Drosophila melanogaster: one gene and its partners. The protein of the gene in region 1 purifies or fractionates together with the protein of each later gene. This does not show direct contact. Each region holds a gene or a part of one and is shown on either strand. Other genes may lie near its edges.

The links.
Region 2: the proteins of CG18744 (region 1) and mRpS22 purify together in Drosophila melanogaster (affinity purification with mass spectrometry, with the first as the bait; one large-scale study listed by BioGRID). This does not show direct contact.
Region 3: the proteins of CG18744 (region 1) and U3-55K purify together in Drosophila melanogaster (affinity purification with mass spectrometry, with the first as the bait; one large-scale study listed by BioGRID). This does not show direct contact.
Region 4: the proteins of CG18744 (region 1) and Cdc5 purify together in Drosophila melanogaster (affinity purification with mass spectrometry, with the first as the bait; one large-scale study listed by BioGRID). This does not show direct contact.

Annotation. Positions count from the first base shown.
Region 1 is NT_033777.3:7,796,567-7,800,650, forward strand, and holds CG18744 (uncharacterized protein), read right to left. Parts: upstream 2,206-4,084; 5' UTR 2,182-2,205; coding exon 2,070-2,181; intron 1,774-2,069; coding exon 805-1,773; intron 743-804; coding exon 591-742; 3' UTR 512-590; downstream 1-511. Other genes in the region: CG3014 (uncharacterized protein), read right to left, coding at 3,040-3,419.
Region 2 is NT_033777.3:27,914,915-27,918,750, reverse strand, and holds mRpS22 (mitochondrial ribosomal protein S22), read right to left. Parts: upstream 1,844-3,836; 5' UTR 1,750-1,843; coding exon 568-1,749; 3' UTR 503-567; downstream 1-502. Other genes in the region: Boh1 (buddy of Hmr 1), read left to right, coding at 1-493; CG5003 (uncharacterized protein), read left to right, coding at 2,323-2,603, 2,689-2,959, 3,018-3,140, 3,194-3,355, 3,409-3,836.
Region 3 is NT_033778.4:14,858,318-14,862,608, forward strand, and holds U3-55K (U3 small nuclear riboprotein factor 55K), read right to left. Parts: upstream 2,442-4,291; 5' UTR 2,323-2,441; coding exon 2,269-2,322; intron 2,219-2,268; coding exon 1,392-2,218; intron 1,331-1,391; coding exon 1,133-1,330; intron 1,076-1,132; coding exon 939-1,075; intron 883-938; coding exon 644-882; 3' UTR 528-643; downstream 1-527. Other genes in the region: CG33506 (uncharacterized protein), read right to left, coding at 1-47, 107-279; Pcf11 cleavage and polyadenylation factor subunit, read right to left, coding at 3,065-3,804, 3,878-4,291.
Region 4 is NT_037436.4:357,316-362,947, forward strand, and holds Cdc5 (cell division cycle 5), read right to left. Parts: upstream 4,069-5,632; 5' UTR 3,814-4,068; coding exon 3,769-3,813; intron 3,700-3,768; coding exon 3,434-3,699; intron 3,375-3,433; coding exon 1,930-3,374; intron 1,871-1,929; coding exon 1,182-1,870; 3' UTR 1,085-1,181; coding exon of another isoform or gene 716-1,084; 3' UTR 536-715; downstream 1-535. Other genes in the region: CG1231 (uncharacterized protein), read left to right, coding at 1-144; Roc1b (regulator of cullins 1b), read left to right, coding at 716-1,084; CG1233 (uncharacterized protein), read left to right, coding at 4,343-4,384, 4,438-5,026, 5,112-5,632.

The DNA of each region.
Region 1 (4,084 bases):
TTGGATGTTACCAATAAACATAGTTTAACCGTTTATCGTGAAACTAAATCTTAGGAATATATATAAGTTATCCAACCAAATTTTCTAGTTTAGAAAGTCATCAATGAACAAAATTTCCTTGAAAATATATTTTAAATTCGAAATTCTTAGCGTAACACTCGCACTTATGTGACGAATTATCCAACTCTATCTGTAGGTTCAACTACAATATATTTGTTGGGCAATGGGCAATAAATCAGATTCTATGCAAATCCTTTCTAATTAAGTCAACAATATCGAATCACATCGCTAATATTCTCGATTCCACATAGAACACACTTATCAATACTTATCACTTACTTATCAATACCCACACATCAATATTTCTTTTATTAAATATAAACAAAATTTCAAAATTGGTACTTGAAAGTGAATGCGTTAAAAGATCGTTCTAGGTATATGATATTGATTCTTAAAATAAATCATTCCCTTGATTTAAAATTGCCACCAGTAAAAGTATCAGTTACCACTTGTGATAATGGAATAATATATATTTGTGTAATTTTGCTAGTGAATGAAATAAATTAGTAAAATAAAATAGTGGCGTGCATTTAATGAGACTTCACTTCCTCCGATTGAGTCTGGTCCATTTCGTAGTAGACATAGCGTGGTCTAAAATCCAACTGTTCGCCGGACAAGTAATGTTTGTTGGTCTTATTCAGATTGGTGGCTACCATGAACTCGGCTTCCCGGAAATTCGAAGCTAGAAAGAAATTCGAAATATAAAATGCAAACGGATATTCTATAAATCGGGAATAGACGTACCCAAAGATGTGGTGGAAATGCTAAAATTCGGAATCAATGTTGATGCTGTTTCGACTGGAGGAGTTGGTTCCGGAGCAGTGCCATCAATGGGTTCTTGCATTAGGAGTTTGCCAGGACAGGGCGGCGTCACATTTCCAATGATGACCGGCATCCGGGCCGCAATTAAGCGCTTTTCCTGCTGAGTTGTGACCAGCACCTCCACCTCGTAGTTGAGCTGCAGGCAGGCACATCCTGCCACAGTCAATGTGGCCGCTGTTTGTGGCACTTGCAGCATGTGAAGATGCTGAAAATTCTGCAGTTCTCCACGGGGGAGGTTGTGGAGCTCGTGGCGGCTGCTTAGGACAGTTTGTCGCTCCACCTTGGTCTCCAAGCGTTTGGGCTTATTCTTTAGATGGGCAACGTAAGTGCTGATCTGAACGAGGGAATACACCGCCTCGCGAAGTGTCAATTTCTCCGGGTTATGCAGCTTTAAGTGAACAGAAATACCTGCTCCTGGCGAATAACCCTGCCTGGGAATCTGGAGCTGCAGATGAAGTGGCTTCATCCAGAATCTAAGGCGAGGAGTCTGCTCATAGATCTGGATCTCACAGCTCCGCGTCTCCTGGCTCAGAGAGTTCTGCGGGAAAATCTGCAGCTGGCGTACATGGAGCACCTCCAGCGGACGATCTGCACTGCTGTGGATGAGCACTTGGAGTGTGTACCGTATGTGTCCGTGGCCCCCCTCGAAATTCCCCGGACAGTTCTTGGGCAGCTTCACATGGAAACCGTAATTGTAGGTGCCCGCCTCCATTATCTGTGGCTGTGCGGCCTCCGAGCCCACAAAATAATCGATTTTGGCAAAATAATCCACGCGATAATCAAAGTCCAAACTCTGAACCACCACTGGCTGCTCGTTCTTTTTTTGATTCTTGTGCTTTTGGGGCTGCTGCCAGGCAGTGCTCGCATATCCATTGGCCTCCAGGCATATTGCTGAAATAAAGAGCATAAGCCAAAAGAATTAACGATTTATGAAGATTATTATAATTTATAAGTATACCACATTAATTTGCACAAATATTTTTCAAGTTCCGATTATGAAAAGTTACTAATCAAATTTGCCTGGTAGTTGATAAGCTCACTGAAAGGTATTAGCAATTTGATTTCAGTGCGACAAACACTATCAGCAATTTGGAAGTCCATAAAAGAAACCAGATCTCGATCGGTGAATCAGCGCCACTGGATGGCCATGTTATACGGGATAGCCCATGAGTCATGCTCCAACCTACCTTTGATTAGGGCCCGCTCCGAAAGGGTCAGATAGACGTGACCATTGACCGTATCGCCGGCCCTATAGACCCCCCGTGGGTTGTCCAATTGGATCTCACAGCGGTGGCTCATTTTCAGCTCTCTGGACTCTGTTGACGGCTCGACTGCTAACCGATGTCTGGCAGTTGTTGACAACATGCCCGCCCATTAAGAACAGGACTGGACGCGGCCTTATCGGATATACTAGGTGTGAATGGTACCACTACCATGGCTATTATCACCAGAGCTATATCTTATCTTATGCCGGGTGAGGAGTGCTATCGCGTACCAAACAATTTGTAATTTAATTAAAATACGTTACATCCGATGGCAGGTGTAGCCTACATATGTGCGAAAACTTCGTTTATATGACGGATTCAAGGACTCGCAAGACCAGTGATGAGTACAATTTCTCTGTAAATAGCCAAGAAAAAGTTATCGACCTTTCATTTTAATACATTCATCAATTTTGCTACGTAATAATTTTGGTTCACATTCAAACGTTTTAAGCCACTAACTCAATAAGCAAATATTTCGCTAAACTTTCAAGAATTCGTTTAAATATCTTTCCATCCCCACGCAACACAAAATACAATTCACAAACTGATTGTTTGTATACTGCAATTATTTATTGTCCACTTGAGAACGCATTAATTGGTACTTACAATAATTAGTATATGTATCGAGTCGATTACATATTTAAATCGAAAATGTTTGACGGATGTATAAAAGCGGTTATAGGTATACTAGAAAAAGGAGATTATGGCACTCAATAAGTTCGATTCGATCAATTTTGGATGGTACGCGAGTGTACAAATTTGCGCAATGAAAGCTCACTAAAACTAGACGACGTACTAGGACCCGGCCTAAAAATCCTTTATAAGCCTTAGTCTTGAACACTTATGTTACTTGTTACTGGGGTTGGCAATACGTATATAAGACACTTTTCCATTAGAACAGGTGCTCGTCCTGTAGGACGTTCTCGACCTCCGAAACCGTTGCCCGTTGAATCGGCCGATGCACCTGGGCAGTCACATCCAGGTTCTCTTCTGCCTCCTGCTCCTGCTCCTCGACATGTTCGGACAGTGGACCACAGAGGGATCCGAAAGTGTCCAGACTCCGACCTGTGTGATCCGTGTTAAGCGATCCGTACGACCTGTACATGTGCATGTCCAGGCCAGAGTCCTCCATTCCGTGAGCAGGAGCTGTCCCAATGAGTGTGGAAAATCCAGGAAACTTGGGCAAGTGGATCCGCTGCAGGACCACTGCGGCGTTACTCCCTAATGTTTGCTGACTTCCTGCCAGGGTAGCAAAACTGAAGGAGGGCGGAACTGCGAATGGAAGTGTTGATAAGCTATTTAAGTTTTATAACAATGTTAGGGACTTGAAGGATTTTCCTTGCCATTGTTGCATTAAATGAACTACCTTATATTTTACCTTACTATACTGTACTATTACTATTACCTTACTATAATAGTGAAATTAACCAAGCGATTAACCAATTAAATTTTGTAAATTTGTATTCAAAATTCAGCTAACATTACATGCATGAAAAACAAATATGTATACTCCTTAGATGATTTTATGGAGTTTTAAAAAAATAAATATGCAACATGTGATTTGATTTGGCAGTTTTTTCCGTCTAACATTTTTTAAAACTTCAGGAACTGTAAGTGATATAATTTTACTATACAATTTGTGTCGATATCACAACAAAATGTTGAACTGTAACGGGAATGTGATAGTCGAGAAAAACGAATAGAACTGCATCTCTCAAAAAGAAATAATTTAATCGATGGGTATTACTATTTCTATACAATGAGAAAATTAAAATCAATGAATTTAAAGTCTATCCTAAGCAACTGTTACAGAAACTTACAATTGAAGTTTAAAGCAACATATAACCAAATCCTAGGTGAAATGAAATGTGTCGTGCTATAAATAATATTTTATAACATGTTAGATTTTTTTTTAAACTACTCTAATGAATACGATC
Region 2 (3,836 bases), about 20 Mb from region 1:
GCACCAGAGCCACATGACCGCGCACTATGGACCTGGTGCTCTGTGCTTTCGCTGTGGTCAGCGTCTGGACCACCAGAAACAATTGAAGCAACACAGTCTGAGCTGTCCCGCTCTAGCGCCCAGGAAGTCATCGATGCTCTTTAAATGCCCACATCTACTCTGCAACGCCATGAGCCACTCAGAGATGCAGTTGCTCAGGCACCTGAGAAACCATAGCGGCAGGAAGTGCTACAGATGTCTTCAGTGCAAACGTTACTTCAAGACCACCACCTCTCTTTTGGTACACCGAAAAAAAGAACAGAGTTGTGCCAAGGCGAAAGTGGTCGTCCTATTTCGCGAACACAACGGGTTGCCCAATGGAAGAGGTGATCCCAGACGTTGCTCAGTTTGCTTGAAGCGTTTCAGCAGCGAGCGGGTATGCCTGCGGCACCGGAGACAGTGCATCCTTGGCCATTTTAGACGGCTGTCCAGGGTCCTCAAGAAGGAGCTATGAACAGCGTATAGAAATCTTGACCTAGCTGGTATTTATTAGTACATAGAAATCGATAACAATAAAGCGAATAGATCCTACGAAGCCTGGACGCCGTGAGCCTTTTTCAGTCCCTGGAACAGCATCAGTTTCTCCCGGTTAACTTCCTTAAGCGTCTGCACCGCCAGCTCCAGTTGCACCTTCTTCAGCGCATGTTCGCTGGCGATGTACTGCTCAATGAACTTCAGGCTGATCTCATCGGCGGCGAAATCGTGCTCCGTCTTGCCAATGGCCGTATGGATCTCCTGCTCAATGTTCTGCTTATTGTCATGTCGTCGGAAGACGCTTCTTAGCTCCGCCAGGGCACTTTCCGCCGGCGTGGCATGCAGTTTGCCCAGTTCGGTCAGCGTTGCCTGATACTCCACTGGGATGTTGTGTAGCTTGTAGCTCAGAGCAATCAGCTCCACGGCATTGTGCAGATAATCCCGACGGATCATGTCATACAGCAGGTCGTCGATGCAGCGGTGCCAAGCGTAGAAGAAGGCCATGGGTCCAAAGTGGCGGGTGGAGCGCAGAAGATCGAACTCCTTGGACTCGTTGAGATGCTCGAACACACGCGCTGAAATGTTGTGGAACTCCGGCTCATGTGGCTCGTACTGCACCAAGAGTCGATCCAGGATGAACTCGTACTTGTGCTCCGCCAAGCACTTGGCCAGCAGCTCCTCCAGCGCGAACATTCGTGGAGTATATGACTGGCGACCCTCCAGCGGGAAATACAACTGGTTCATGCGCTTCGTGGTATCAAGAGTGGCGTAGGCCAAGGTTCCGTCCATATCCCGGACGATTACCTTGCGTTCCGACTGCCGTCGGCCGAAGGTGATGTCCGTGAATACGAACTTGGAGTTGGCGAAGTCCTTCAGCGCCGTATCCTTGGCTATCACCCGCTCCACATCTTTTTTGATCTGCACAATGGGTGGCATTTGCAGAATTTGCTGAGCCCGCACCACCAAGTTCTGGAACTCGTTGTCCAGCTGCTCGTTGCTCATGAACTTCGTTTCGCTGCTGTTGTCCGGCACCGTGCGCTTCCGATACACCTTGTCCAAGTTCAGTTGCGTCATGGACTGGAGCAGCCGCTGGGTTTCGGCATCCGTGAAAAGCGGCTGCGGATCGCGCTCGTACTGCAGGGCGGCGGGCTTGGTGGGCGCCGAGGACACCTGCCGGATAGCTTGGCGCACTCCTTGGAGGCCATTCAGCTGGCGCAGGCTCCGCAGCAGGTGCATTTTCAGTCAGTAAATCAGGCACAAAAATACACGAGACGGGTGTAGAAATTAGTGAGGGCAGCACGGTGTTTTCCAACACTGCTTGCTAGTAATGACAACAGGAATCTTATTTAATTTAATGTGTTTATTCTATTTGTATAATAACTTTTTTAATGCACATGCACATGCGTAATGCGCCTTATTTTTAAATTTCATTCATAATATGCAATATTTGTTTGAAATAGGAAAATAGCAAAATAGGCAACTTTATTATCTACATAAGAATTAAACGATTATTAACTACTTGTTATTGTTCCCATTTTACCAGACGACTCAATTGTATAACTATGAGCAGCTAGTGCCACCGCCTTTAGTATCAAATCGTAATAATCAAGAAAAAAAATAATATAATAATAAAAACGACATTAAAAATTACCGGGAAATTCGGAAGCCAGTTTCATCTCTTCGACATAGGAATACCCCTACTAGCGGCTTATCTCGGGATCTGACTGCGGTCACACTTGACCAATTGCATTTAGCTGGAAAAAAAGCTGCTGGCGAAAATTGGCAATAAAGTGCAGGAGCAGCCCAAGCATGGAACAGGCCGAATTGGGCAGTACGTGCCTTGCAGCGCCTAAGCGCCGCTTCCCGGACAACGAACGTTGTGGGCGGGAGCTGGCCGCCGTGCCCGTGCAGCCAGTGCTGCCACAAATCCCTACCGAGGAGGAGCCGGAGATAAAACAGCGCAAAAGGGAGAAGGAGCATAAGGAATCCCTCGACCGGGAAACGGAGTGCAACCTCATGGACTTCTGTGATGAGCTGCTCTTCGAGATCTTCCAGTACCTGGACACGTCCTCCATTCTGGCGGTGATGCAGTAAGTAGTCCGCTATCAACAAAGATCTCTGCGTCGCTGAGATTTCCATGTCCTTTCCATATTATAACATTCCGTAATATTCCAGTTGCTCGCCGCGCTTTGAAAACCTCCTGCTGGATCACCGCTTCTATCATCACATAGACTTAAGCAACGGGCCCCTGCCTATGGGCATCCTAGAAGAGATTCTTGGACGAGCCACCGAAAAGACACACACCATTAAAATCTGCGGACCTCCGTCCTCGCAGCATGTTGCAGGCGAATTCCGCCAGTTCACCCAAACGCTAAGCTCCGTTTTCCCCAGGGTTGTACAGCTTAAAGTGCTGGAGCTGGAGGGCGTCAGCCTGGACTTCGAATACGTGAGTGCTGGCATCTCGCAAGTTTCCCTGGTCTACCCCAATTTTATCTTTTCTTCAGATACACATAACTGAGTTCCCGGCCACTCTGAGGCGTCTGAAGCTAAAGGACTGTAGCGTTAGGGTCGGCGACACGCCAAAAAGCATATTTTACTCCATAGAGCTGCATCTGCTTGATCTAGAGGTGAGTTTGAGCGAACGACAGTCCAATGAATAGCCTAACCCCGTCTTATTTAGGATCTCAGTATTGAGGACAACAGCTGGTTCGAGCCCTATTATATTATGGGCCTGTCGAAGTTACCTTCCTTGCGGCGTCTTAGTCTTAAGGGCTGTCAGGCGCTATGCAAGTTTGTGCCCTATGGCAGCATGGCGGCACGTTTCGGTTTCCAAAAACTAGAGGTTGGCATAGGTGCAATCGGCGAATATTCTTTATAAAGGGTTATTTATTTCAGTCACTAGATCTTCGCCAGACGCCCATCAACAACTCAGATCTGCAGTGTTTTAGCGCTATCGAGAATCTCAAGGAACTGCTGCTTGAGTCGCCACAGATCCTGCACTCCAAACAAGCCGTTGCTAAAAAAAATACCAACGGCAACGCCACTGACGAAGCTGCTTCCCCGCAGCCTGATTCACTGAAAGTGCTTAGCGATGACGAGCCGTCCACATCGCGGGCCGCCATGGAGCATCTGCGTGCATGCAAGGTTGCGTTCAATTTGGACAACTGCAGCGATAGAAAGGAGGAGAAGTCGCCGGTGCCAACTGAGCCTCCTTCGGAGGGTCAGGATCTTCAGGCGAAACGAATACGAGCACCATCAGAATCCGATGATGAGGACACATCATCCACCTCAGGGTCTTCGTCGGACAAATTGGAGGTTTTATC
Region 3 (4,291 bases), on another chromosome or scaffold:
CCAGGCGCTGCTGCACTGCCTCCGGCACTGGACGCCCCACGCCGTGTCTATGAAAAGAAGTGGGATGTTAGAATCGCTTCCAGTCACCAAAAGTTTTCTCACCCACTGGTAGCATTGCACGAAATCGCGGTAATATTTCAGGCCGAATGTGTGCGGCAGGAAGTTTCCAAGAAAGAGGCCCACTGTGGTGGCTCCCGCCGCGTAGAATACGAGTTTTCGGCCCTTTTCAGTCTTAAAATAGGAGAAGAACCCTCCACCGGTTTTTAATTTCGGCAACATTTCAGCACTTATTGTTTTGTAACAGGGCCAGTGTGACCATGACTAGCTATTGAAAGTAGCCAACACTAAGGAACCATTTGCGGTTATAACAAACCGAATATCGGTTTTAGAAAAAATATTTGAGCTAATGGAAATAGACGACCAGATACCCCTTACTTTAATATAAGGAGTTAAATTTCAATCTGAAGCAAATTTAATAAATTCAAAAACATTCGTTTGATCTTGTTTATAAAGAACAAATAAATTTTATATGTTTGAAAGTAAGAACCTTCAGGTAGAAGATACAAATGATCTTTATGTATATATTTTCAGGCCGTTTCTTGTTACAAAAACTATACAACTTTACTTAAGCTTAGAAGTTAACCTAACTGCTGGCCGCGCTCTGTAACTTAACGTCGAGTACAACTACTTGGTTTTTTGCCTCCTTGAGTCGCCACCAGCGACCCAGGCGGTGCTCCTGTCCGGTGGCCACAAACAGCTTGCTGCCATCGGCATTGAAAGCCAGTCCGTTGATGAAGCCGGCGATGGATATGCTCTGGATTAGGTTCATTTTACGCGCGTTGGGATTAGTCTGCCAAAGACGGACGCAACCGTCACAAGAACCTAGAATCATGAATATTTAATTACAGTTCGCAGTAAGAAATATGCGCAATTCCCACCTGTTGCCACTAAATCCGTGTTGACCACCACAGCAATGGCGGTTATCCAGTTGGCCACGCCATTCTCGCCCACTCCGTGCGCCAGTTGCGTTGTACAAATGGGCTTCTTTTTCAAAGCGCTCCATAAACCGATTGCTCTGTAAAATGGTGTTGTTACTTCCATACTGAATTAGTTAGCCAGACTCCCAACTTACCCATCCATGCCACCAGACACAAAATGCTCATCGTTGATGTACTTAACGCACTCAATGCTATCTTTGTGTCCATTGTAGATCAGCTGCGATTCCTCTGTGATCTTCCAAATGCGCAAGGAGCAATCCGAACCGCCAGCGGTAATGGCGCGCTCTCGACTCAGTGCATCTATGCTAGTTACTGCCGTTTGGTGACCGAATCTGAAAGGAGGAGCTCGTTAAATGTCTGATATTAAGGGGGATTAACTAGCATAGTACTCACAAACTCTCCACATAGGCCATCTCATCCAGGGACCAGATTTTCACCGATCGATCCTTGGCTGCCGAGTACAAGTCATGTGTGCCTTTGCGAAAGACCAGACCTGCCACACTATCCCGGTGGCCTTTAAGAGTCTTAATGTGCTTCATCGTCTGGGGACACCAAATTTGAATGTGTGGACCACCTTCGGCCAAGGCCAGATACTTCATGTCCGAGGACAGGCATATGCTGATGACATGCGATCGCCTTTTCTTGCCCGTTTCTGGTTCCTCGCGATGCGACAGCACGTCCGATTTCTCCAGCACCTTCCCCGTTTCCGTGCACCACTTAAGTAGGAATTGCGATTTGGCTCCCGTGTAGAGGAATTTACCATCCGGACTGAGTGCAAGGGCACAGATAGGCGTGTGGTGGAGTTTGTGCTTGAGGATGCGGCTCGATTCGCAGGCTTTCAGGCTGCCAGCAATGTTCCGGCGCAGTTTGCCCACGCTATCCAAGTATTCCGTTTGCAAGCGCTGCTCCACGCTTTGGGCCAGCTCCCGATCCTCGGCGCGTTCCGCCTCTTGCTTCTCGATCTCCGACAGATACTGTTTGGCCAGACGCAGGCGCTTGTCCTGCGGCGTTTCCTCCTCGCCCTCGTCGGATGAAAATGCCAAGGTGTTGTCATCGCCGCCCAGATCGCTGTTGTACTCCTCATCGTCGCTAGCTATCTCCTCGTCCTCCTCCTTGGGACGGCGCTGCTTCTTTGGCACTGGTCCACCAGCCGCGGGCGTTGATTTACCCGGTTTTCCGCCTTTCTTAAGCGGTTTTCCTTTTGTTGTTGCTGCGGGATTCTGTTGAAAGCGTTACAGGTGCCGCTCTCTACGCTGCTTGATTCACTTACCTTGCGCTTCTTGGTGCCCTTGGCGCCTGGCTTGAGGAAGAAAGAGGACGACATCGTGGAAAGTAACTAGTTGCGCGGCTTTAATTCAATATTTTTGATAAAAAACTTAATTTAAACGAAGGAACGTCTCCACGTGCATATAAGGCGCGTGTCCAAATTTAGTACTTTTGTGGTATCAGCTGTTTGGCGAGTGCACATCAACAGGCTGAATGCTATGAAACTGCGAGTCAACACGGCCACCCTAAAATTGGCGCAAAAATTATACGCAAGGCAGAATATTTAAATTATTAAAATTAAACCAAGTAAATTGAAAATCGAAAAAACAGCTTCAAATAAAAAAACCACGGTTTATAGCTTGAATATATATCTTTATTTGTTATATTTCGATTATTAATCAACTAACAACTAAAAATCATAATTAAATCAATTAAGTATGTGCTTTTGAATTCATTTTGTTTATTGTTTCCTCCAATGGGCATAAAAAAATTACATATTAGTTAAGCTTGTTGTTGGTGGTCAAAGTAATGTGTTTGGCTTGCTAGTGCTATAAATTTATCACAAATTTATGTTATTCTGCAAGTGGTTTTTATTCTTCTTTTCGGTAATAATTTATGTATACGAATGTGAGCGCGCCGCATCGAAAAGGATTTGAATACCTACAGATCGCGGCGAGGCGTCGCTCTCCGGCGGAGAACGTTCCGTTGGCTATCTAAAACTAAGTAACGTGTAAAAGTAATCGTAGTAAAAACGTATTAGGAATATCGCCAAGTCCCTCCACTCAGACGGCCGATTTGATTTACATGATCGAGCACAGGCCCGACGTTTCGATGCCGTTCTGCACCTTTTTCGTCCGCTTCAGCGTGGCATTCCGCAGCGCCGGCTTTTGTTCCACGACGGGCTCCGGATCCGGATCAACTGTGGCGAGCGGCGGAGTTGGCGATTTCAGGCTGCCCGTCTCCGCCAAAAGCGAAGCAGCTGGTGCGGAGGATGCGGTGGAAGTAGTGCTTCGGCTGCCATTGCTGCTGCTGCTTGCGCCGTAAGTGCTGCCAATTACCGAGATCGAGCTGATTACGTTTGAGGGCGTGCTGGTCGCAATCTTGGGCACGAACGTATTGCCGCCGCACAGCACTGGAATGGTGGAAATGGTTTGAATGGCATTCACCTGCTGGACAGGGTCTCCTGCTCCGGATGCACCGCCAGCTGCTCCTGATCCACCGATGACGCTTATGGCCGAGACTTGCGAGTCCGTTGTCGTGGTGTTGGAGGCACTATTATGACTATTACTACTCGTATTCTTAGTGATATTTATCTTTATTTTATTAACTATGCTAGCCAAAGGTAACGCCGGACCCACTGCGCTCAGGTTATGCGTGGCCTCCTGCTTCTCGCCATTCAATTCCGCATCCGTATCGGTGTTTGCATCACCCTGCTCCAACTCGTCCGCCTCATTGGCGGGCAGGGAGAGCGAGGTCACCGATGCTGGCCGCTCGATGGTGGCCGGCGAGGCTGACGAGCCGATGGTGTGTGTTTGAGTTTCTGCCAGGATGCCAGATGATTGAGCAACTAATGTGATACTGAGGACAGGACAGTTAAAGGTTTAGAAACTTACCGCTGCTGTGTATGGAGATCTCGTCCTCGGGCAGAGGTAAAAGTGAAACCACCGTGCCCACGTCTTCGAATCCATCATCCTCGTCCTCCTCATACTCATCCTTGGGCTCCTCCTTGATCTTTACGTTCAGTAGCGCCGCCCTGGTCGCCTCATCCATCTCTTTCTCCACATAAGTGTCCAGATCCGTGAAAGGAATGTTCGGCTCTTGGATTTCGACATCCGATTCATTGGCCGATTCGTTTTGCTGCTGTTCACCGAGCTCAACCTGATCTTTCTTCGGTTCTTTGGTCTCGGAGTTGGACTCTGTTTTGTCCTGTGACTCGTTGCCCATGTCCGCACGTGTCACATTGCCCGGAACGTATTCGTCCTCATCGTCGTCGTCGACGATTTCCGTGACACTTGGCTCTTCATTGG
Region 4 (5,632 bases), on another chromosome or scaffold:
TTGTATCGCACTCCAATGGGTCAGTACTACTGCCAGCCCTGCAACATGATGATGAACCATGAGAGCACCTTGCAACAGCACTTTATTGGCAAGAAGCACCTGAAGAGGGTAAAAAACCTTTCCCAAACTGAGAAGAACGTGTAAAGAATTTATTTGATATACCCTAAGCCTAAGCCATGACTTCCCGTTAGCAGTAAAGCTTCCTTAATAATAATGACATTCGAGTTTGGGAAACAGCTATTTTGTTTAAGAAAGGCATTATAAAAACCGTAATTTGTTATCATACCCATTACTCATAGAGGGGTATATTAAACTCGTTAAAAGGAATACAAATTTCTATCGATATGCCAAGATAATTTTGAAATTTCTCTCTCAAACTCACTCCCACTATCTGGTATCTGATAGTCGAGAAATTCGACTATAACATTCTTTCTTGTTTAAAAAAATTGTCTAAATTTAGGGATTCAAAAGTGGTTTACCGATGATAAGCTTTCTTGAGCCCCACTTAATATGATCACAAGGTTTAATTTCTTTTCTGCATTTATTTTTAAAATTATTCGCCGTTGTTATTTCGTAGATAAATCGGTAGTGGTCAACTTTTTTTTATTAACTGTCAGGCCAAAAACAAATGGAATTTAAAATAGTTCAAATCAAATTCGAATACGAAAATAAGTGTTGTATTTTGAAAAAGAAAAAAAATTCGTAATTTCACACCATGGCCGAGGAGATAGAGGTTGAGGAGACGGAGGACTTCCACGACATGGACTTCAATGACGAAGAGCCATCCTGTAGTGGAGGAGCTGTCCAGGCCAGGACGGAGCGCTTTGTGGTGAAGAAATGGGTTGCGCACGCCATGTGGGGATGGGACGTAGCAGTGGACAACTGTGCCATCTGCCGTAACCACATCATGAACCTGTGCATCGAGTGCCAGGCGGACCCGAATGCAAACCAAGACGAGTGCACTGTGGCTTGGGGCGAGTGCAACCACGCATTCCATTACCACTGCATCGCGCGCTGGTTGAAAACGCGCCTGGTCTGTCCGCTGGACAACAAGGAGTGGGTCTACCAGAAGTACGGCCGCTAGCGAGGAATATGGATCGGGATATTAGGTGGTGATAGCTGTTTGCTGGCATGTAATTACTGTAATTAAATAAGAACGGACTTGGGTTCCAAAAGAAGGTTTACGCTTCCTGGTCGGGCAGGAGTTGCTGGGCCGTGGGCCTGACGCCAGTTATATGTTCGATTTGAGAGTAAAGCGAATCGCGCTCCTCCACTAAGCTAGCGTACTTTTGCTGCAGCTCCTTCTCGCGGTCCATCTGGCGACGCACGTCCTCTTGCAGCGATTCCAGGCGTCGCGGCACAGCGATGGCCTCCTGTTCGCCCAAAAAGCGGAATGTCGAGAGTGAGACAGAGTTCTGCTCAATCTGGCCGTACGTGTCCTGAAGCTGCTTAATCAGCACCTGGGCGCGCGCCTGGTAGCCGCCGGTGAGAATCTTCAGCTTCTTCTCGATCTTGCCGCAGCGCTTGGCTTCCTTGGCCATGTGGCGGCGATTTGTCTCCAGCCGTTTCTCGGCAGACTCTAATCGATCCTTCTTGCTGGCCAAATTGGCGCGTGTGTAGCGATGTTGGGAGGGTAGGTAAAGAACCTGGCCGAGGCACTCCTGCCACACCTGGGCATAAACGTCTAGGGGCAGTTCGCCATGCGCCATGCGCTCCTTCACCACCTCCATTTCCTCGGTGAGCATTTGCTTGGCCTTCGCCAACTCTTGCTGCGAGATGTCCTCGTAGGGATTGGCCTTAAAGTAGCTTTGTAGCTGTTCCAACTTGTGCTGCGATTGACCAGGCACGGGATCCTTGACCGAGTCGTACACTGCCAAGAAAAAGGACGTTAGTTACTTGGGTTAAAATGGAAACGTTGGGTTTACTCACGCTGCATGGTGATCATTTCGTGTTTAATCAGCTCTTCGGCCTGCTGCTGTTCCGTAAGGTTCTGTTTCTCGGACTGCGGTCGCAGAATCTTGGTGTTCACTTCAGTTGGTCGCGGGAGACTACGCTGAATAACCTGGGAGCGCTTCTCTAGCTCTCGCTTTCGGCGCGCCTCTTGTTCAGCCAATAACCTGGCGTCGACATCCGCCTGATCCTCGACGGCGGGTTCTGAGTTGGTCTCAATGCGTTCGCTTTCCTCCTGCTCAGGCACCACGATCTCATAGTCATTCCGTGGAGCGGGCAGCGTGGAGAGACCGTCACGCAGTGTAGACTTTAGTTGCTTTTGGTAGTTTTTGTAATGTGCTGGGGTCTCGGTGACGCCCATACTCTCCTCAGGATTGATGCTTAGCTTGTCCCTCACGTAGGCAGGTGTATTGACGACACCCGTAGCCCCTCCTGCCCCCTTTACGGGAACTAGGGCTCCGGAGGAGGGCGTTTGGAATCCGCCGGGAGTGGCTGCTCCGCCCTCGCGTTGGGTTCTAAACGGCGTGGCAATCACTGTGTTAGGCGTGGCGATGGAGGCCGCCTTGGGCAGCACGCCGGAGAAGTCTGACTCGTGCAGCGGTGTGTTCAGGCCACCTTTGAGTGGCGTCTCTGTGTGGGTGAGGGCCATCATGTTTTGGGCCTCCTGCATGATGCGATCGGTGTACGGAGCCGGAGTACGTGGAGTGGCTGCTACCTGGGGTGTAATGGAGTAGTCGGCTAGCAAAGCATCCGTCGTCTCTATGCCGCTCTCACCGGCAATTTCCTTTGCCATCTCACTGGCGCGTCCCAGCTTGACTACCTGCTGTAGTTCCATGTCGGAAATCTGCGGCGTAGGCAGGACTAGTTTGGAGCGCTTCCGCTCGGGCTCCATGTTTTGCAGCATTGCGGTGGGCACTTCATTCTCTTTGCGCTGCTTCAGCTTCTGCTTGTCCCGCTTGCGTTCGCGTTCCTCCTTCTCTGAGCGGAGTTCTCCATCTAGGTCCTGCTGCCGCATCTTGTTGAAGTCGGGTTCATTTTTCTGCAAGTGTTCCTCGGAAGTGTCGTAGAATCCGTGGGCAGGTCGCTTTTCGAAGGGAATCTCGGCGTTGTAGTCTATTCCCTTGATCCGCTTGCGATTTCCGCTGCCAATTCCGGCGGCACGAAGTTCGCGCCGCTTTTGGAGAGTGGCCAGGCGGCGGGCTTCCTCCAGTTGCTTTTCGCGAGCCTTGCGCTTGGCTTTCTTGCCTTGCGTGTTGGCCAAGCGGGCGCGTGCCTCGGACAGCATTTCCAGCTCGTCCTCGTCCATGTCCTTGGGATCGGGCCGCGCCGGCTTGGTCTCTGGATTGGGGTCAATCTCTCCGGGCTTCAACTTGCGAGGATCATCCATCGTGTCCTCGCCATCCTCTTTGCGTTGGGCTTGGTCTCTGTACGGCAGGAAAGGGATCAGAAATTTTCTACTTAGTATGTTGTGCGTTGGACTCACAGCAAGTACTCATAGCGCTCCAGGCACTGGGCTGCCGTCCGTCCGATGATCGGGGCTATGGTGCGCCACTGCGTCGGCATCAGCTTGGCCAAGTGGAGCAGTTTCTCGTCCTCCTCACGGGACCACTCGGTCTTCTTGATGCTGGGATCCAGCCACTCGTACCACCTGGCCTTGCACTGCTTGGCGGACTTTCTGTGCAGGAGGGAGGCAATTCGACTCCACTGGTTCTTGCCATATTTCATAACCGCAGCTTTGAGGATTTCATCCTGGGAAAATGAAATCGGTAGCCAATGTAAGCCATGTGTGGTTAACCGATAGACTATTGGGATAATTACCTCCGTGTTGCGCCACACGCCGCCCTTGATCATTATTCGCGGCATTCTGGGGCCTTATGTTGCTTTCTGTCGCGTATACAATGGATTTTCACAATTTTCACTCGAGTCCACGAAACTCCGCTCTTTTTTTTGCAGTAGCCGCTAGCGATGGTTAGTCTTCGATAACAGCGATATCTCCAGCACGTTTTGGTATATTTATAGAACCTCTAGTTAAACTATTCTAGCTTAGTACAAAAAAATTTCATTATATTGTATTTAGTCTTCGTATACCGTTTGATTTAACTTCGGTCTTAATATTGGTAACTTAAATTATTCAATTTAATAAAGGGCCTATACACACGACATAACATAACGCGACAGTGTGACCGAATATAGTTGTGCAAACACCGCTGCCACACTGTGTACAGCAACAGCTGTTCGCTATCAGTTATTTTGTGATGAAAAGTTTTTTTTCTGCGTAATGCCAATTTTTGTGATGCGGAATTAAGAGGCGTGTGCCCAGGAAGCGGAAAACCGGCAACCGGCAACCGGAATCCGGCACCGGGAATCAACTGGACCAAGGAAGGCACCCACGATGAGCGATGCGACCTATCCGGGATATTACGGCGGCAACCAGGTGAGCAACCAGCGAGTACCTCTGGCCAGAAAAACACGCCGTGTGTCTTCCAGCTGCTCCCGTTGTCGCATCCGCATCCTACACATCCGCACCAAGACCTGTCGCTTTCCACGCCGGTTCACTCCTTGGAGCAGGACTCCAACTTCGGGGGATTCTTTGACGAAGAGCTGGTCATCGGATCGGGATCCGGATCTGCCTCCGCGTCTGCTGCAAACACCACCCCTTCTGGAACTACTTTGTGGCTGGCCGATGGCGGGAATCGATCACCTACTGAGGTGGCGGTGGAGTCCCAGCCCAATCAGGGCATTCCCTTTGTCCAGATCCACACCACCGACTTGCAGCAACCAGAGAAAAGCTACCGCAATGCCTTCCGCAGGCGTACAGCGGAAATTAAGTCGGAGGAACTAATCAAGTCGGAACTTGCGGAAGCGGCAGCCAAGGATCGCCTGAATGCCACGCCAACGCCACCAACTCGAAATTCCAGCTGCGCCAGCGTGGAGGGCAAGGCAATCATTCAGGAGGGTCCGCCTCTTATCCTGCGCTGTCCTAATTGTCCATTCTTAAGCCTCTGCCAGATGCGTCTTCAGCAACACCTTAGTCAGGGCAACTGCTATATGGAGCAGCACAGGAAACAGTGTCCAGGTGAGGCATAGTGCGCCTTCAATATGAGTGCTCTGCTGGAATGCTTCATCATATTTGCATTCACTTTTCACGTGTTTTTCGACAGGCTGCTCAAACATTTTCTACACCAGCGATGCGCTCAGCTTGCACCTCAGCTTGGACCATCAAATGGAGGACAGTGAGACACTTGCGCTTATGGGCAGAAAAGTCACTGAAGCACAAACTAAAAAGCAGACTCAGATGTCGCAGAGCCAAAATCGACCCAAGAGCCGCATCTTTATAAAAAGCGTAGATTGCCTAAGGGAGCCACTCCCGGATTTCCCGCCCTTAATGCCGGATAGCGGGTCCGCCGCTAACATTCTTGATCTGCTGGAAGGTGTGGCTGTAGGTGCATCGCCGACCGAACAGACAATGCCAACAGCACCTGCTGCGAATTTACCAGCTCCGCCGCCAAAGCCCATCCAGAAGATCTCCATCAAGAGCGTGGACGTGCTCAGGGAGACCGCTTTGCTGCCGTTCGACTTCCAGCTGCAGAACCATTCGGTCAATACGGACAATAGTCTCCCTGAAGTTCCTGATGTTGTCGGGGAGCCGGAGAAGCCGCGCCAGCCGAAGATTTATATCCGC